2 linked regions of the Mytilus edulis genome follow. The protein of the gene in region 1 purifies or fractionates together with the protein of each later gene. This does not show direct contact. Links are inferred from orthologs where the notes say so. Each region holds a gene or a part of one and is shown in the gene's direction. Other genes may lie near its edges. The genes, in order: ubiquitin conjugation factor E4 B-like and ubiquitin-like protein 7.

What was found.
Region 2: the proteins of ubiquitin conjugation factor E4 B-like (region 1) and ubiquitin-like protein 7 purify together in Homo sapiens (affinity purification with mass spectrometry; 3 studies listed by BioGRID and IntAct, counting the BioPlex papers as one, with this or other methods). This does not show direct contact. The link is inferred for Mytilus edulis from reciprocal best matches to the Homo sapiens genes UBE4B and UBL7.

The regions. Positions count from the first base shown.
Region 1 is NC_092356.1:69,800,574-69,809,234, forward strand, and holds the start of ubiquitin conjugation factor E4 B-like, read left to right. Parts: upstream 1-5,371; 5' UTR 5,372-5,507; coding exon 5,508-5,531; intron 5,532-7,714; coding exon 7,715-7,886; intron 7,887-8,448; coding exon 8,449-8,524; intron 8,525-8,661. Other genes in the region: uncharacterized protein, read right to left, coding at 443-446. UniProt on the Homo sapiens protein: Ubiquitin-protein ligase that probably functions as an E3 ligase in conjunction with specific E1 and E2 ligases. May also function as an E4 ligase mediating the assembly of polyubiquitin chains on substrates ubiquitinated by another E3 ubiquitin ligase.
Region 2 is NC_092347.1:92,524,791-92,533,567, forward strand, and holds the start of ubiquitin-like protein 7, read left to right. Parts: upstream 1-5,494; 5' UTR 5,495-5,529; coding exon 5,530-5,671; intron 5,672-8,777. Other genes in the region: GPI ethanolamine phosphate transferase 3-like, read left to right, coding at 1-11.

The DNA.
Region 1 (8,661 bases):
AAACAAAAGCAAGGACAAGGTACGATAAGACCAGTTTTTGTCCTCCCTTTTTTCTCATTTTCTCAAATTCTGTTTTGAAAAGATAATCATTATGTTAAATTATTCCCGGATGCTTGAAGTTTGTTTGGATGAACTTCAAACCCATTAATTTTAGCAACTGGGTGAGGTGACAGGGGTTAAATTTCTGTTATTTTTCAAATATTGTAATTATTATCACTTTGCATGTGTTTCGTATAACGAATTTTAGTTTTAAGTGCCTGCGCTAACGTAACTCGGGAATATTTTTCTTCCAATGTCATTAGCACTGTTTTTACCGTCTGAATCGCCGTAATTTTCTCCGGGTCACGTAGTGACCCTATTAAATTTTAAGAAACAATGACCAAAAATCGTAATTTTCCCTTCTTCTGGCGTTTTTTGTGCCCTTTTACCCCTCTTACCTTACCCATTTTTTTAAATTAATGGTTTTGAAGTTCATCCAAAAAAACTTCAAACCTAAGGGAATGTTTTAACGTGATAAGTAGCTTTCTAAAACAGAATTTGAAAATGAGAAAATAGAAGGGGGCATAAACGGGCCTTATAGTATCTTGTCCCTTGCTGTTACAGGCGTATGATCGGAAGTATTTGTAGTGTGACTTAAAGCTATCTTTACAGTCAGTTTTAATTGCTGTATACTTTTTTATTTAACAAAAAATAATCAATTTGTAAGACTTATTTACCACCGTGATGGAAAAGAGTTGGCTTTATTGGGTAGCTATCTGGTAAATGTAATTGTTTATATTTTTGACATAGTTCGTGGTTCTGTTGTGCTGTTCTATGTTGTTTTGTATGTTCTATTTTGTTCTGTGTTTAGCATGTCGAAATATGCTATTGTTTTGTTTATTTGTGTATTTCTCTGTCCTGAGTGTTCTTGCATTTATTTGAACTGTATTCCTGTCATGTAGTGTTGTCATTTGAGTGTAAACTTTAACATTGCCACAAAAGCGTGAGGTTTGTCTAGCCACAAAACCGGGTTCAACCCACCGTTTTTTTTCTTAAAATGTATTCTTCCAAGTCAGGAAAATGGCAGTTGTTGTCTTTTAGTTCGTTTCTCTGTGTGTCATGTGTGTTGCATTGTCGTTTTTGGGGTTTTTTTTTTGCAAAATCATTGTTTCTGTTGTTTTGTTATTTTCCTCTTATAGTATAGTTGATGTGATTCCCTCGGCTTTAGTTTGTAACCCGGATTTGTGTTGTCTCAATCGATTTATGACTTTCGGACAGTGGTATTTTACTGTTGCCTTTCTTTGTGAAACCTTCAAATACTTTGTTTCATTTTCTATAATCAGGATGCAAGGGTGCATTCATATCGTCACATAGGATGATCTGGTAAATTTCTTTATATTTATCCATAATTTTTGAAATTTGATATAGTGTATCTTTGAAACTATTGTCTCCACTAATTTGGGCAGATGGCATATATAAATCAATTACTAGTAGATATATTAAATTTGGGTTACTGTCTGTTGTTAGTACTTGAATGAGATCATTCCCATCCGGCATTATATTAACTGCATTGGTCAAGTCTTTCTGCCAAAAAAATGCTGTTCCACCGGTACCATAGCCACGTATTGATGTATAGACTGATATCGGGTAATCAGTAACAAAAAGATGGTAGCCAATGAAATGATTATAAAATGACAGTGTATATAAAGTGACTACTGAACAGACCTCTGTCAACAACAATGTTTTGTATGTATATATTACAGGCATTTTCTAAATTTAGGCATTTTGTAAAATGCCTGAAAACTTTTAAGGCATTTTCTAAAATACCTGCAAGATTCAGTAATTAAACACAATGTCTAAATTATCTAGGCATTTTTCAAAATGCCTGGAAAAAATTAAACGGCATTCTACAAAATGCCTGAATCTATTTTAACATGAATATCATTAATGTGGTCATTTTATAAATTTCCTGTTTACAAAACTATAAATTTACCGAAAAACTAAGGATTTTCTTATTCCTGGCATAGATTACCTTAGCCGTATTTGGCACAACTTTTTGGACTTTTGGATCCTCAATGCTCTTCAACTTTTTACTTGTTTGGCTATATAAATATTTTGATATGAGCGTCACTGATGAGTCTTATGTAGACGAAACGCGCATCTGGCGTACTAAATTATAATCCTGGTACCTTTGATAACTATTTACACCACTGGGTCGATGCCACTGCTGGTGGACGTTTCGTCCCCGAGGGTATCACCAGCCCAGTAGTCAACACTTCGGTGTTGACATGGACATCATTAATGTGGTCATTTTATAAATTTCCTGTTTACAAAACTATGAATTTACCGAAAAACTAAGGATTTTCTTATCCCAGGCATAGATTACCTTAGCCGTATTTGGCACAACTTTTTGTACCTTTGGATCCTCAATGCTCTTCAACTTTTTATTTGTTTGGCTTTATAAATATTTTGATATGAGCGTCACTGATGAGTCTTATGTAGACGAAACGCGCGTCTGGCGTACTAAATTATAATCCTGGTACCTTTGATAACTAATTATAGAATGAAAAGTTAAAAAAAAACTCATTTGAAAGCTTTCAACAGTTTTTATATGGTATTACTGAATAGAAAAGGGTAAAGTTTAAATAATCAAGAATATATTTTACATAATTATTCCAAATTTATGACAAAATAATAGAAATGTTATACATATTTTCTGACATAGTGATGATAGATTGAAAAAGGCAACATCAGTTCATGTTTTGCAAGCTTCTAAAGTCGAATACTCAACTGAAAAAATCAGGGACATTCATTTTACTAAAAATAATACGTTTTGTGTGAGGGTGGAGTAAAGCTAAGAATGGAAATCAGGAATGTGTCAAAGAGACAACAACCCGACCAAAGAGCAGAAAACAGCCTAATGTCACAATGGGTCTTCAATACAGCGAGAAATCCCGCACCCGGAGGTGTGTATCAGTCCTTCTGCGATTTTGACATAATAATAACAAATTCACTACTGGTATTTGAATACAGAGTGAGTATGTATTTAACATAATTTCACTAAAAAGAACATAGCAAATGACATATTAACCTTCCAAGCTGGGTTTTGGAGAATAAATCAAATTTACCGAACCAATAGTTATTTTCTTTGCAAGAATCTGTGTTTTGTCCACTTTTGTCATATATGCATCTCAATGATATCCTTCTCCTATAAATTACCTGAAACTGAACAGGCAATTAGTGGAATTTTTAGTTACAAGTTTTATTTATTAATACACTTTTAGTTGCAACCATATTAAATATGGTTCAAAAAAATCAACACAAAAATCGATTTGTTTTTGCCCCAGATGACTTTTAAAATGGTGCAAAAATGCCATTTTTTGCATTGAAATTGAAATAGCTTTTATTAACTCATCGGTGACCTATAAAAAAAATTCAAACAAGCTGTACTTAAACTAAACCGTGATTTTAACAAATTAAGCAATTACTGTAAAAAAAGTTCTTTTTTTATTTCGATATTATACCTTTATTGCTCCAATAAGTTCAACAGAAAAAAGTACTTTAAAAAATGAATGCCTTTCGTAGGCAGATCGTGAGCTTGAATAGACGATGACCCCATTGTTTTCATTTTATTTTGCTATTACGTATATATTTTAAAGTTTATTTACAGATAAAATAGCGATATCCTTTATCTTAAAAAAAAAAGAGTTATGATACCCTCGAGCCCCTTAACCTATACTAGATAAATTATCCTTTAGATTTAAATCTTATCCCTGCTTAACTTTTTACTGAAAACAGTATTATCCTAGATTCGGTATGTATAAATATATAGTGTTATAAGATAAGATAAGATAAGAAAACTTTATTTTGATTCGGCATGAGTACAAATAAGCAACACAAGCTCTAAGGAGCTTTTGACCGAATATAAAAACATATAAATAACATAAAAACAGTGTATTTTGACATATATAAAACAACCTGTAATACAAAATTGAAATCTCACATACAAAGCATGCAATAAAAATAAGCAACACATTTTCGAATGAAGTAAAAACATGCTTGACCAGAGCAACCAAAATCAGCATAAATAATAAACAGTTCAAGAATTATCTGCAAGCAGAACACTGTCATTCCAAACCGTTCCAGGACTGAACAAGACTTTTAAAATGTGAAAACCTGTTTTCAGTCCTGAAATGGTTTGGAAGAATGTTCCATAAAGTAGCAGCAGCAAATTTGAACGATTTTTTACCGTAACGGGTTGACTAGCTTTACCTGTGGAATTTCAAGAATATTTACATACCTGAAAGAATATTTAGACTTTTTGACATTCACCAAATTTTGTAAACACACAGGAGCTATGTTGTTTATAATTTTAAAAGTTTCTAGAGCCATTGTTCTTATCCGTCTGATCTGCTAGGAAGGCACCTTAGCTTTAAGTAAGAGGTCCTCGTAGGAGCTGGTAAAATCCTCATACACAAAACGGAGTGCTCTTTCCTGCACCTTTTCTAGTTTTTTGAAATTTTTCTCAGTGCAAAAATGCCATGCCAAAAGGCAAAAATTAAAATTACTAAGAATAAAAGTATGAAATATAGTAAGTTTACTAAGTCTATCCAAAACAAAGCCTAAACGTTTTAAAACATTTAATTGCTGTGATGCCTTCCTACAGATTGAGCTGATATGAACATCAAAATTTAGCTGGTAGTCTATTTCAATGCCTAATAATTTTACTGTTTTTTCACATGTGAGGTTCGAATTTTGAATATACACAGATGGGTTCTTTTCAAAGGTCTTTTTGCCAACAGCCAAAACTTGAAATTCGTCAGGATTTGCTTGCATTTTATTTACCATGAACCACTCAATAAGTATTTTTGAATCCGATTCCAAAGTTGATCGAAATCTGGAGTACAAAAAGACAAGGTATTTGTCTCAAATACTCAAATGTTATTTTAGTCAATTTACTTGAAATATATTAATATAAATAAGTATTAAGATTTGTGACACATTTTAATACACGTACACAACTGTTTGTGGTGTTCCATAACAAAAAATAAGAAAAAAACTTTTATTGCGCGCTTACAAAAGGGTCTGGAGGGGGTCTGTTATTCTGTAAACATTTAATTTCAAGTCACCCCTTTTTTCTCTAATCTTTAAAAAATTAACCCCTTTATTCTCTAATCTTCAAAATATTAACCCTTTTTTCTAATCTTCATTTTATGGCCTCATTATTCTCTAATCTTCATTTTTTAAAGGGTATTATTCTTTAATCATTTAACCCGATCCAAACCCTTTTATAATATTCATCCGAGATCGGAGTATTTGAGTCGAATGTGTTTTGGGGTTCGTTATTGGTCTCTTCGGGTTTTTTTTGCTTTGTCTAAAGCTGCGAATAACAGTGAACACTTCCGGGTTAAAATGTGACGTCACATATTGGAAAAGAAGAAAACACAAAGACACTTTTACCTTGATTTAAAAATAATAAGGAACTTTATGGTAGAAAAAATCGAATCAAATATCTAAGTAGAGAAGAAATGAGTGAACTCACTCCAGACGAGGTAGATTATTGAAGCTAAACCAAAAAAAATCAACAATAAATTGATTTGTCATGATTCCTTATTTTCAATGTTTTGACCGAAATTATTAGTGAATGTATAAAATTATGGCTAATACTCTTTAAAACCCTTTGACTGTTTGTGTTACATCACATAATTATCCATTTAAGTATATTATCTGTATCTGCATTATGGAAATTTCTGTTGCAGATTAACCACATAGAAGTAGATGTAAAAGACATTGATAATGTCATAATTCATTATGTCTTGAAGATCTAATTCATTGTCCTGTGACAACTTTATTGTTGATAAATAAATGTTATCCCATAAGTGTTGCATATATAAAAAAGGATAACTCATCGCAATAGACCAAGTGACACAGAAATTAGAAATTATAGATCTCTGTATGGCCTTCAACAAAACACTAATACACTATATGCCCGCCATTACTGGACATTACATAGGTTCCAGCCAAATTTTGACATCAGAATACAAAATATCTAAAGCCACAATAAAAAGGATTTATGTGTGACATCAATAGCTAAAGTGGCACGGATTCTCGGGTCAGCCGGGATTAGTGATAGGTGTCTAATTAATGTCTAAACAAATGAACGAAACAAAATATGTAACACAGCAACAAATGACATCCACCAAATCACAGCCTCCCCACTTGGGACGGTATCAGGTCCGTTCGTGCCCAATATACTTTCGCATCCTACACGTTCGCACCCAAGGTCCATTCGCACTCTACACGTTCGCGCCCAATTTTAATTTAAATTCCAGTTGAATAATTGGAAAATCATTATTGTTAATTTTAATTACTTTGATGTAAATACTGAATGTATTTATAGCTTGGTATGAGTAAAAGATTAAATATTTTAAATGAAAAACACAAAAGATAATTGTTTTTAACAGCTTGGTCCCTTTGATCTGAAACAATGAAATAATAAAATATAGCAATACACTATTATATAAACCAAAACATGATAAAATTTATTTCATTTTGAAACAAGCCAATGAAACAAAGTTTTATAGGCAATACACTAAACAAAACATGATTAAGTGTTATTCAACAAAAAATAAAACATTGACAGAATCCCACTTTAATTAGAAAGGAATATTATTTTTTTTAACAATACACTTTCAAAAACATGATTAAGATTTATTCAACACTTAAAAAATGCTGTCTCGCTTTATTTTGAGACAATGAAATCAATTATACTTTTAGGAATACTACTTGCCAAAACTTGATTACAAATTTATTAAACACAAAACCAATAAAAATTGGGCGCGAACAGACTTTGGTTGCGAACATGTGGGGTGCGAAAGTGAAAGGGGGCGAACATGAGTGGGTGCGAACGTGAATGGGCGGGAACGGTCCCAGATTCACTTGGGACAGTCACATTCAAACAGAATGTTGTGGGTTTAAACATGTAAGTGTGATCTCAACCCTCAACTAGGACAGTCATGACCGTGGTGTAACGGTACAACATAAAAATGAACTACATTCTGTATAAAAATCAGTTGAAAAATGCTTAACTCATCAGATGGATCCATACAAATAGATCTAACACATACATGTAGTAAGCCAAGCACATGATCAATTACATCAATTTTTTTTTGTTTTGTTTCTTTTGACTTTTAACCTTTAACCTGTTAACTGAAACCATTGTATGAAACCAGAGTCAATTTCAGATTAAAATAAATGTTTTGGGATTCTTATTAACAGCTAAATGATAGTTGTATCCATGATGATATATAGGACCCAGCTAATTAAACATGGGTATTACCCACTGATGCACAGGTTTCTGGGATGGAAAATCATTTGTCCATGATGTGGAATATAGAAATATTTACATTTACTACAATGTACATATACTGACAAAATGTCAGATACATTTAGTCCAAATGACTTCAAATGTCAGAACTAAATAGTGTTCAAGTAGGTGCTGTATACTGACTACTGTTTGTGTCAAATTGTGGGTATGATTGTCAATGAGAACTATCTTTTGAAAAGGGCTTACCTCATCAAATTGACACAAAGCAAAAAAAACACAACATGCTCAAAAAGACTAAAGACACAAGTCATCGATCGAACACGGTTGTCAGTAGTAATGCAGATAGAGATCACATTATAAACAAAATAATATCTGGTTTGAGATTTAATTTTCCACTAATTATAACAGATAAGGAGAAGACGTCTGGCCAGGTTAGCAGGAAACCAGACTACCCCTCCAGATGGAGACAGGTCATCGGGAACCCAGTCTACACCTTCTAGTCAGTCTTCAGAAAGACAATCAAGTCAGTCAACACCAAGTCAATCATCATTAGACACTTCACAGAGACGAACTCTTCCAAGTAAGTCATTAGTAAATTGTAGATCCTAAATAAGTCATCAGTAGATACTAAACTAATACGAACTCTTCCAAGTAAATCATCAGTAGATACTTCACAAAGTAGACATGTTTATGCCCCTTTCGTAGTGGAGTTAAGATTTACCCTTGTCTGTAGGTCCCAAAGTTGGTTTCTGTTGTCTAACTTTAGTTTGCCTCAACCAAATGTTAAGAAACGTATACACGTATATATATACACACAATGCTTATTACCACAAAACACAGATTAAGATTGAATTTTGGTGGCATCACTATAACTTTTCTAGAGTTATGCCCCTTTACAAATGGGAAAATTGCTGAATGCCTAAAAGTAGCATACATGTATCTGCAACAAGAAAGATGAGTTTGGGAGGAAAAAACAAAGAGGTTATTCATCATGTTCATTTTTGTCAATGTATAAGAAAAGACCTGTTTTAAAAAAGATTGCATTACAAAAGTGTTTTTTCCTAACATTGTGCCCTCATATTCTTGCTTGAACACCGGTTTACGGAAATGTTTTAATCTAATTTTCAATGATTTTTTTTTAGGTACTTTAAGTGTAGACCCAATCACACCAGACTCGCAGAGAAGTATGGAAGTGGATTCAGAATGCTCAGAAAAACAGTAAGTTTGATTTAGAAAAGTATGGAAGTGGATTTAGAATGCTCAGAAAAACTGTAAGTTTGATTTAGAGAAGTTTAGAAGTGGATTCAGAATGCTCAGAAAAACAGTAAGTTTGATTAAGAGAAGTTTAGAAGTGG
Region 2 (8,777 bases), on another chromosome or scaffold:
AGAAAAAATAAGGAAAAAGACATACTTATTGCCATAACAGCAGAGTATATAATTAATGTGTTTCTAGTTAACAGCATATCATCAATGGTGACTGTTTTGCCCTACACCTTCAGTCATTGGTCATTGATTTGTACATGTAGTTTACATGTAGATTACATGCTGCCATTTTATTTCATCATTTTCAATTATCATATTAAGCACACAAGAGACATGTCTCTGTGTCAACAATTTTTTTGTCTATTAAACAAAAATAATGCAGCTTAATATTACAAAATCTTATTTTTTTGAGACAGAAAAAAATATTGGTTTTTCATTTTCACTAATAGTATACACCTATTGACTGGGTGTGAGGGTAATAGCAAGTTTGTTGTCCCTGAGGTACCAACTATTGCTCGAGGCAAAGCCGAGAGCAATAGTTGGTATGCGAAGGGACAACAAACTTGCTATTACCCGCACACCCAGTCATTAGGTGTTTTATTATACTGAACAACACAGCCATTAAGTATTTTATATATATACCAAATAACTAATTTTCTAAAAGTGTATATATATCATCTGCAAGAAAACAAAAATATCACATAACTTTATATGCACATGATGAACTATACTTTTTTATAATTCGTTTTGTATTAATAAATATTTCATTAATTAATTTCAATCAAGACTAGAAATACTTGTGTTAAACTTTCTGTGCTTATAACAAATTCTAGCTAAAATACACCAAACGCAAATTCACTTTTAATATACGGAGAGCGAACCCATATTAAGGATAAGGTACTACATTTTAGATCTTTAAAAAAATCCCCATGAAGATTTTTTCTTCTTTTTAATGATTGCTTCTTATAAGTGAAATTACAATCAACACAAACAGATCCCACCGTTTACAATATTAGCGGGAGTTTGACGTTGCAAAGCATACGTAACCAAGCAGAGTAGTCAATGACATCATTGTCGTCCAATGAAAAATAAGCATGAAAAAGTACGGGAAAGATGATTATGAAACTATTCACCGGGGCAATAGTCTTTGAAACTATTGAATGGCAAATGGTTCTGTGGAATGAAATAGCACAACTATTTCATTACTTTTGATATAGAAAAAACACACTGAAGTATAATAATATCATTTATTGAACTATCTTTTACTTGACATGAATTATATCCTTTTCAGCAGAAAGGTTTACAACTGTATGCCAATTTTATAAAATGATGAATGACTAATGATTTTAGCATGGTCATTTGTATGTATGTTTGAAAATAAAGAGAATTACTGATTTATTAGTTTTATATTATTTTCACTAAAATAGTAAAATACCATAATGCAGTAGATCAATTTTTAGGTACTCATAATTATAATATTAAGTTCACTTCAGAAATGTTTTAGAAATTGATGTTTAGTAAGTATCATGCAAACAATTACTTTTTGTAAGCTTATGTGTAATCATGTTGGAAAAATTCTGTAAAGTGTAAATGGAGATTTTTTTTTAGTTGCAGTTTAGAAATTTATATGTATATAGAATCAGATATCCTAATAGATATTATTTGTATGCTTAAGTGTAAAAAAAATTGGAATAACCATGTGAACAGAGATTTATGTGTAGTTGCAATGTGTCTGTGGTGTTAGTCTGTTGGAACAATATATCAATGTATATTAATTACAATGAGATTTAACTAATCAAGAAACAGTAAATGGAGATTCTTACAGAGAAAAACTGTATTTATAATAAAATTAATGCTTTAAGTGCTCATTATAATGACATGGTCAACTTTTCTATGATGAACTTGGTGCATTTGTTAATAACTTGTTATATGTTTTTTTTTATTTTTTCATATTTATGTGTAAATATACAAATGTAAATGACATTGGCAAAATCTGACAACAGTAGTTGTTGTCATGTTTATATTTGAAATAAAAGTGCTGTCTTCTCATGTTCTAATTATTGTATCATACATTATCAGTCTATCTTCTGGAAACTTGGTTAAATTTACCAAAGTATCAAAACAAAGGATATGAGTCATCTATCCATGACACAAAATGAGTACATGCACAGCAACAAAAAACATGTAAGAAGCAAAGGAACAGTTCTTGTATTGCTATTCTTCATCTCAAAGTCATAGTGAGGCCTTCAACGCAGAGCAAAAATGAACTTGTACCTCACTGCACTAAGATGGGGCGGGGTCTAGCACTGGCTTGAGCGAAATTCTTGGCAAAAAATTTGGATAGACTTTGTAAGATGTAACACCACCTAATTGGGTCCAAAAAAGAACATAAGGAAAGTAGTACATATTTAAAACAAAAAAGTTCCTATGCACAGGTGTAAACCATGTAGCATATATTTTAGTAATTAAGGTATCAGATAAAAGGGGAAGGAGTGGTGATCCTTGTAGAACACTCAATTCACTGATAATTCTGAATAATACAAAAATGTCTGAATGAACTCTGAAATTGAGGACATATATAGCCTGTTTCTCAGATAAGAAGTGCCTGGTTTGGTGTATCCGAAATTTTGGTAACCAGTGCAATACAGTCGAGTATATATTAACACAAAGGTCAAGGACAGTCAGACTCGAGGTCAAAAGGCATCAGAAGTATAAGGGTTGTTTACAAGTAATACCAAACACAAAACATTTGGTTATTATATGGATTAAATTTTGAATGAGGTTATTTGATTTTTGAAGGTTTCAATCATTTTATAGGTTATTAACTGGTGATGTGTACATAGCCCCCTGTTTATTTAAAAATCTATGGCTTTCCCACATTTTGAATCATGTAGAGAATGAGGATGTGCATCAGAAAACAATTGTTTTACAAACTTTAAAATCATTTTATGTTTATATAATATGTTGATGAAGCATTCCAAAATAGGTCAGTTTCTCAGTTACTTTAAATGATAGGTAAATTATATTTGGTATTTAGGATGGTTGTTGGAGGTATTTGCCCTTCTGACTGGATTCATCTGACATTCCAATACCGGTATGCAAGCATAACCTTATTTCATAGTTTATGATCAATGTTGATCTTTTGGGATTTTACAACAGATTCCCAATAACTATGAGTTACATCTCAGTTGTATTTTTGTATAGAACCATAGTAAGGTGTAATTGGGAAAAAAATTGTATTAAATTTCATAAGTCTGAATCACTTTAACATCTAGTCCTATAATAAAAGACTGCATGTTCATATCATTTACATTTAATGTTTTTTATCAGATTTTTAGCTCACCTGGCCCGAAAGGCCAAGAGAGCTTTTCTCATCACTTTGCGTCCAGCGTCGTCTTCGTCGTTCGTCATCGTTAACTTTTACAAAAATCTTCTCCTCTGAAACTACTGGGCCAAAATTAAACCAAACTTGGCAACAATCATCATTGAGGTATCTAGTTTAAAAAATGTGTCCGGTGACCCGGCCAACCAACCAAGATGGCCACCATGGCTAAAAATAGAACATAGGGGTAAAATGTAGATTTTTGGCTCATATCTCTGAAACCAAAGCATTTTTGACGGTGGCAACTCTTCAACTACAGTACTATTATTCCTTAATTTTAACGATATTTTGCCGTTTTGGGTTATTATCTTCAATACTTTTATAGATAGAGATAAACTGTAAACAACAATAATGTTCAGCAAATTAAGATCTTCAAAAAGGTCAAAATCACCAAAATGGTCATTTGACCCCTTAAGGAGTTGTTGCCCTTTATAGTCATTTTTTACCAATTTTTCGTAAATTTTTGTAATCTTCTACAAAAATCTTCTCCTCTGAAACTACTGGGCCAAATTTAATCAAACTTAGCCACAATCATCATTGGGGTATCTATTTAAAAAATGTGTGCGGTAACCCAGCCAGCCAACCAAGATGGCCGCCATGGCAAATAATAGAACATGGGGGTAAAATGTAGATTTTGGCTTATAAATCTGAAACAAAAGAATTTAGAGCAAATCTGACATGGGGTAAAATTGTTTATCAAGTCAATATCTATCTGCCCTGAAATTTTCAGACGAATTGGACAACTGGTTGTTGGGTTGCTGCCCACCAATTGGTAATTTTTAAAGAAATTTTGCCATTTTTGGTTATTATCTTGAATACTATTATAGATAGAGATAAACTGTAAACAGCAATAATATTAAGCAAAGTAAGATCTACAAATAAGTCAACATCACCAAAATGGTCAGTTGGTCCCTTAAGGAGTTATTGCCCTTTATATAGTCAATTTTTAACAATTTTCATTAATTTGGTATTTTTGTAGTAAATTTTTACAAAATATTTTCCTCTGTAATGAAAAGGTTCAAGTTTATTATAGATAGAGAAAATTGTAAGTAGTTAGAATGTTCAGTAAAGTAAGATCTACAAACACATCACCATCACCAAAACACAATTTTGTCATTAATCCATCTGTGTAATTTGTTTAATATGCACATCGACCAAGGTGAGTGACACAGTCTCTTAAGAGCCTCTAGTTTTGGTTCATATCATTTACATTCAACAGAGGTTCAACATTGATATTAAAAAAAAAAAAATCTGATAAAAAATGAATGTAAATGATATGAACCTGCACTGCAGAGTCTTATATTATAGGACTATTTAACATCAGGAACGCTCATATCCAAATATTGAAAATGTCTATCTGAAGGTTCAATGATAATGTTAAGTTATTGGGATACCTGAAGTAAGATCTTGATTTTAAAGTTCATTAGCACAAATGCTCAATCCTTATCAGTAAGATAGATGAGACATCTGTATGTAGCAGGATGATGATAGGGTACAGAAAAATAAGAGATCACACAGAAAGCAGCATGAAACTACATACAGTAAGACTAAAGAGTGTTTAGTTTTAGAAGAAAACATGAAATTAAAGATACATTGTAGTAGGCTGAAATGAGATATTCTATTGAATATATCTATTAAACTATTTAATATAGTTGCCTATTGATTTCTCTCAGATAAATTAGGAACACACTGAACAAAATCCCTTATTGAATCATGATAACTTAAAGTATAAAGTATATGACTATCAATAGAAGAGAATATTTAATTTTAATTAATGGTTCAAATGGGATGTACAATAAAGCTGACATTTATTTATAAACACAAATACTGTATGTAAACCATATAGATTTTAATGATAACAGGGCCCAGTCTTCTTATATTAAGGTATGTACAGATCCTCTAAAAGGGGTAATTTAATAAAGAAAATCTGAAAAAGATGAATGAAAGCGGTGGCTAATTTAGCAATAATTAACTTTTATGCTTTTTAATTTTTAGTTGTTTGTCACCAGAGATAATGATGTGCTACAAGGCAGCGCTCTAACAGACTGAGCTAAAGAAGAATTTCCCCATTAAATTTTATTGTCCATAAGATTTTTTTAACAATACTGTCCATCTTTGAAAAAATATCAAATAAGGAAATTATTCTTATGTCGCCCGAATGAAACCGGTACTACAATACTTTTTTTTTAAATTACTGGTTCCTTTTTATTTACTTTGATTTTGTAACGGAGAATAGACCGTATAATACTAAACCAGTTTACAAAACAGCAATGGCGTCCCTAAAAATTTGTAACCGAACTGTACAAGGAAAAACTGACAAAATAACACTTAATTTTGTTAATCTGAAAGGCAACTCCTTGTTTTTAAAAGAGGAAGTTTCTAAAGTCATCAACTTACCTCCCTCTGACATCGGTAATGATGAGATTTCATTGTTTTGATCACATTTCTTCACTTAAATTTTCATGCTATGCCAGCCTATGCAATAATTAAAATAAATAAATATGATAAACACGGTGCCATGCTATCTAACACGCACAATAGTAGCAATTAACTGAAACCCTGTTTGGCACAACTTCAACCACAATTCACCAAATGTGGAATAATTCCATAGTCTGGCGAAATGATTACGTGTAAATTTTATTCAAATAATTATGACATCTTGAAAGGCTATAATTTGTCCTTGTAAATATTAAACAATGTAAATATGTAAGGGACACATCTCCATTAATCCCAAAATGGATTCCACTGTACCCTCGCAGCTCTCAATGGGTGCTCTGTAAACTGTTTTTGTCCCAGGTTAGGGGTCTGGGTTGGTTTCTTCAAACTAGTTTAACCCTGCCACATTCTATATGTGCTTTTCCCAAGTCAGGAGACTGTCATTCAGTTGTTGTTTGTTGCTGTTTCTCATATTTGTATAATTTTGTTTCTTGCTTTGTACATGAATAAACAGGTCAGGAATAACCACCAATTGGTGGATTATACCTCAATTGATGTATAATCCACCAATTGACGTATAATGATATAGACCAATTGGTGTATAGTTCTTTGTTTTTCAAAGCAAATTATTCCACCAAAATGGAGCATTGTTTTCTTAAAACCATATTATGGTATTAAAACTTGTCAAACATTCCTAGTTAAGTATAGTCACATAACATATTGCATTTAATCAATAATTGTATTTGCAGTTTCTTCTATTGTTATCTTGTCAATTCTTGATTGGTAAATTAACCACTAATCACCTGTCAATGGACATCAATACTGTGTGCAGTCATGTGATCATGAGTACAACTCCACAGGTGAATGGAGCTCTTTGTTAATACCTGACTTTCATTATCAAAAGTCAATCATGGTCAAAAGTACAAATGTTTTAACAAAAGAATTGTTGCACACATGCATTCTCAAGAGATGCATCAGGCTTTGACAAAACTGAAACTTTTGGAGCACTCAATAAGGGTCATAAAATAGATTGCAAGTTGCAAAATCATGCTCCTATCTCATACAAGCATTTTATTACAAAAAACCTGCATAATACGTCAATTGGTCTATACCCATATATGTCAATTGGTGGATTATACGTCAATTGAGGTATAATCCACCAATTGGTGGTTATTCCTGACCTGATAAAAGAGGGACGAAAGATACCAGAGGGACAGTCAAAATAAGGTTGTTAGTTTTAGTTTGAATTGATTTTCATTTGATTGGCTTTTAAAGCTGACATGTGATATGAGCTTGGCTCATTGTTGAAATAGGTACAGTGACCCATTGTCTTCAATATCTGTGTCATTTGGTCTCTTTTGGAGAGTTGTCGAATACACCTTTTCGCTATTTGTCCGCCATTACTGGATATCACACAGGTTCGGGACCCTAAAATTTTGACATCATAATACTAAATATCTTAAGCCACTATGAAAAAATTGATTGTTGTATGATGACAATAGTTCAAGCAGGACAGATTTTCTGATCAGACGTGAATAGCTATAAGATTGATCATGAAGATGTATTGGTAATCATATCAAATTTTTTTATGCCCCACCTACGATAGTAGAGGGGCATTATGTTTTTGGTCTGTGCCTCCGTTCGTTCGTCCGTCTGTGCGTCTGTTCGTTTCAGGTTAAAGTTTTCGGTCAAGTTAGTTTTTGATGAAGTTAAAGTTACATCAACTTGAAACTTAGTACACATGTTCCCCATGATATGATCTTTCTAATTTTAATGTCAAATTAAAGTTTTGACCCCAATTTCACGGTCCACTAAACATAGAAAATGATACTGTGAGTGGTGCATCCGTGTACTCACAAACTTGAAATAGAAAAAGGTCGTTATTTTAATATTAAACTAGAAAATAGAATATGCAAACTCTGTAATGAGGAAATAGAAGATGAGATGCATTTTCTTCTAACATGTAAAACTCTGGATAATGTTAGAAATCCCTTTCTAAGCAAAATATATAGTAAAAATAAAAATATTTCAAAACTTGATAACAAATCTCTTTTTATTTGGCTAATGGGAAATGAAGATAAAAACATTTTGATAATAATTTGTCAGTTATTAGAGGTTTTAAATATAAACAGAAATACAATATTAAATTAGATTTCTCTATATAAAATTATGTATGATCAAATATGCATTTACATAAGTTATTTCTTTTACATTTCATAAATTATTAGTATTTACTACAAGGTGTGCTGTCCAATAAAGGGACCATAATAACATACTATTGGTCATATTGTATTATATATGTTTATTATTTACAAATTGCCTACTTCATTTTCTTTAATATTATATCAATCAACCAAATCAAAATCAATCATATTATGTACTTTGTTTAACCTATTTTGAATTTACTCTACATTATGTTTGAAAATTATATTATAATTATTCTGCTCATTCTGGGCGCCGTGATTGGCAAATAAAATATTTGTTGTTTGTTTGTTTGTACTATGGACACATTCTTGTTATTTTTATATTTAGCGAATTTGTTGTTTCAGAATTGAAATACAGGCAACTTTTTTTTAAAAGGGAAGACTAAAACCTTGTGCTTGGCTTTAAGTGTCTCAAAAAATTGGAGACAGAAGCCAGGAAAATCCTGAAAAAAAAAATTCTTTCACTGAATCCCCCCAAAATAATCAGTTAATCCCAAGTCTTTATTTGTGTAAATGTGGAATTCCTGTGGAAATAAATGCACAATCCAGATACCCTTCCATTGCTAAGTATTGAATTGATTTGTACAAGAGATTACTGATAAAGAAGGACAATTAATATCATCATTAGAATTGAGGGATTGTTTCTCATTTTGTGGAATGTGTTTAATTTGATAAGTGACAACAGGAATCGCCATAAATACAACACAACAGCAACCAGCAACACCCAATCTACCCGTAAACATTCAAAAACAAATTTATGCTAACTATGACAACTTACAAATAGCTTGAAACTGTTAGGGAAACAAAATGAGATTTAAATTTGATGAATTTCTAAGGGGTCAGTACCGGTAAGTTATTATAATCATCCTACCATTGTC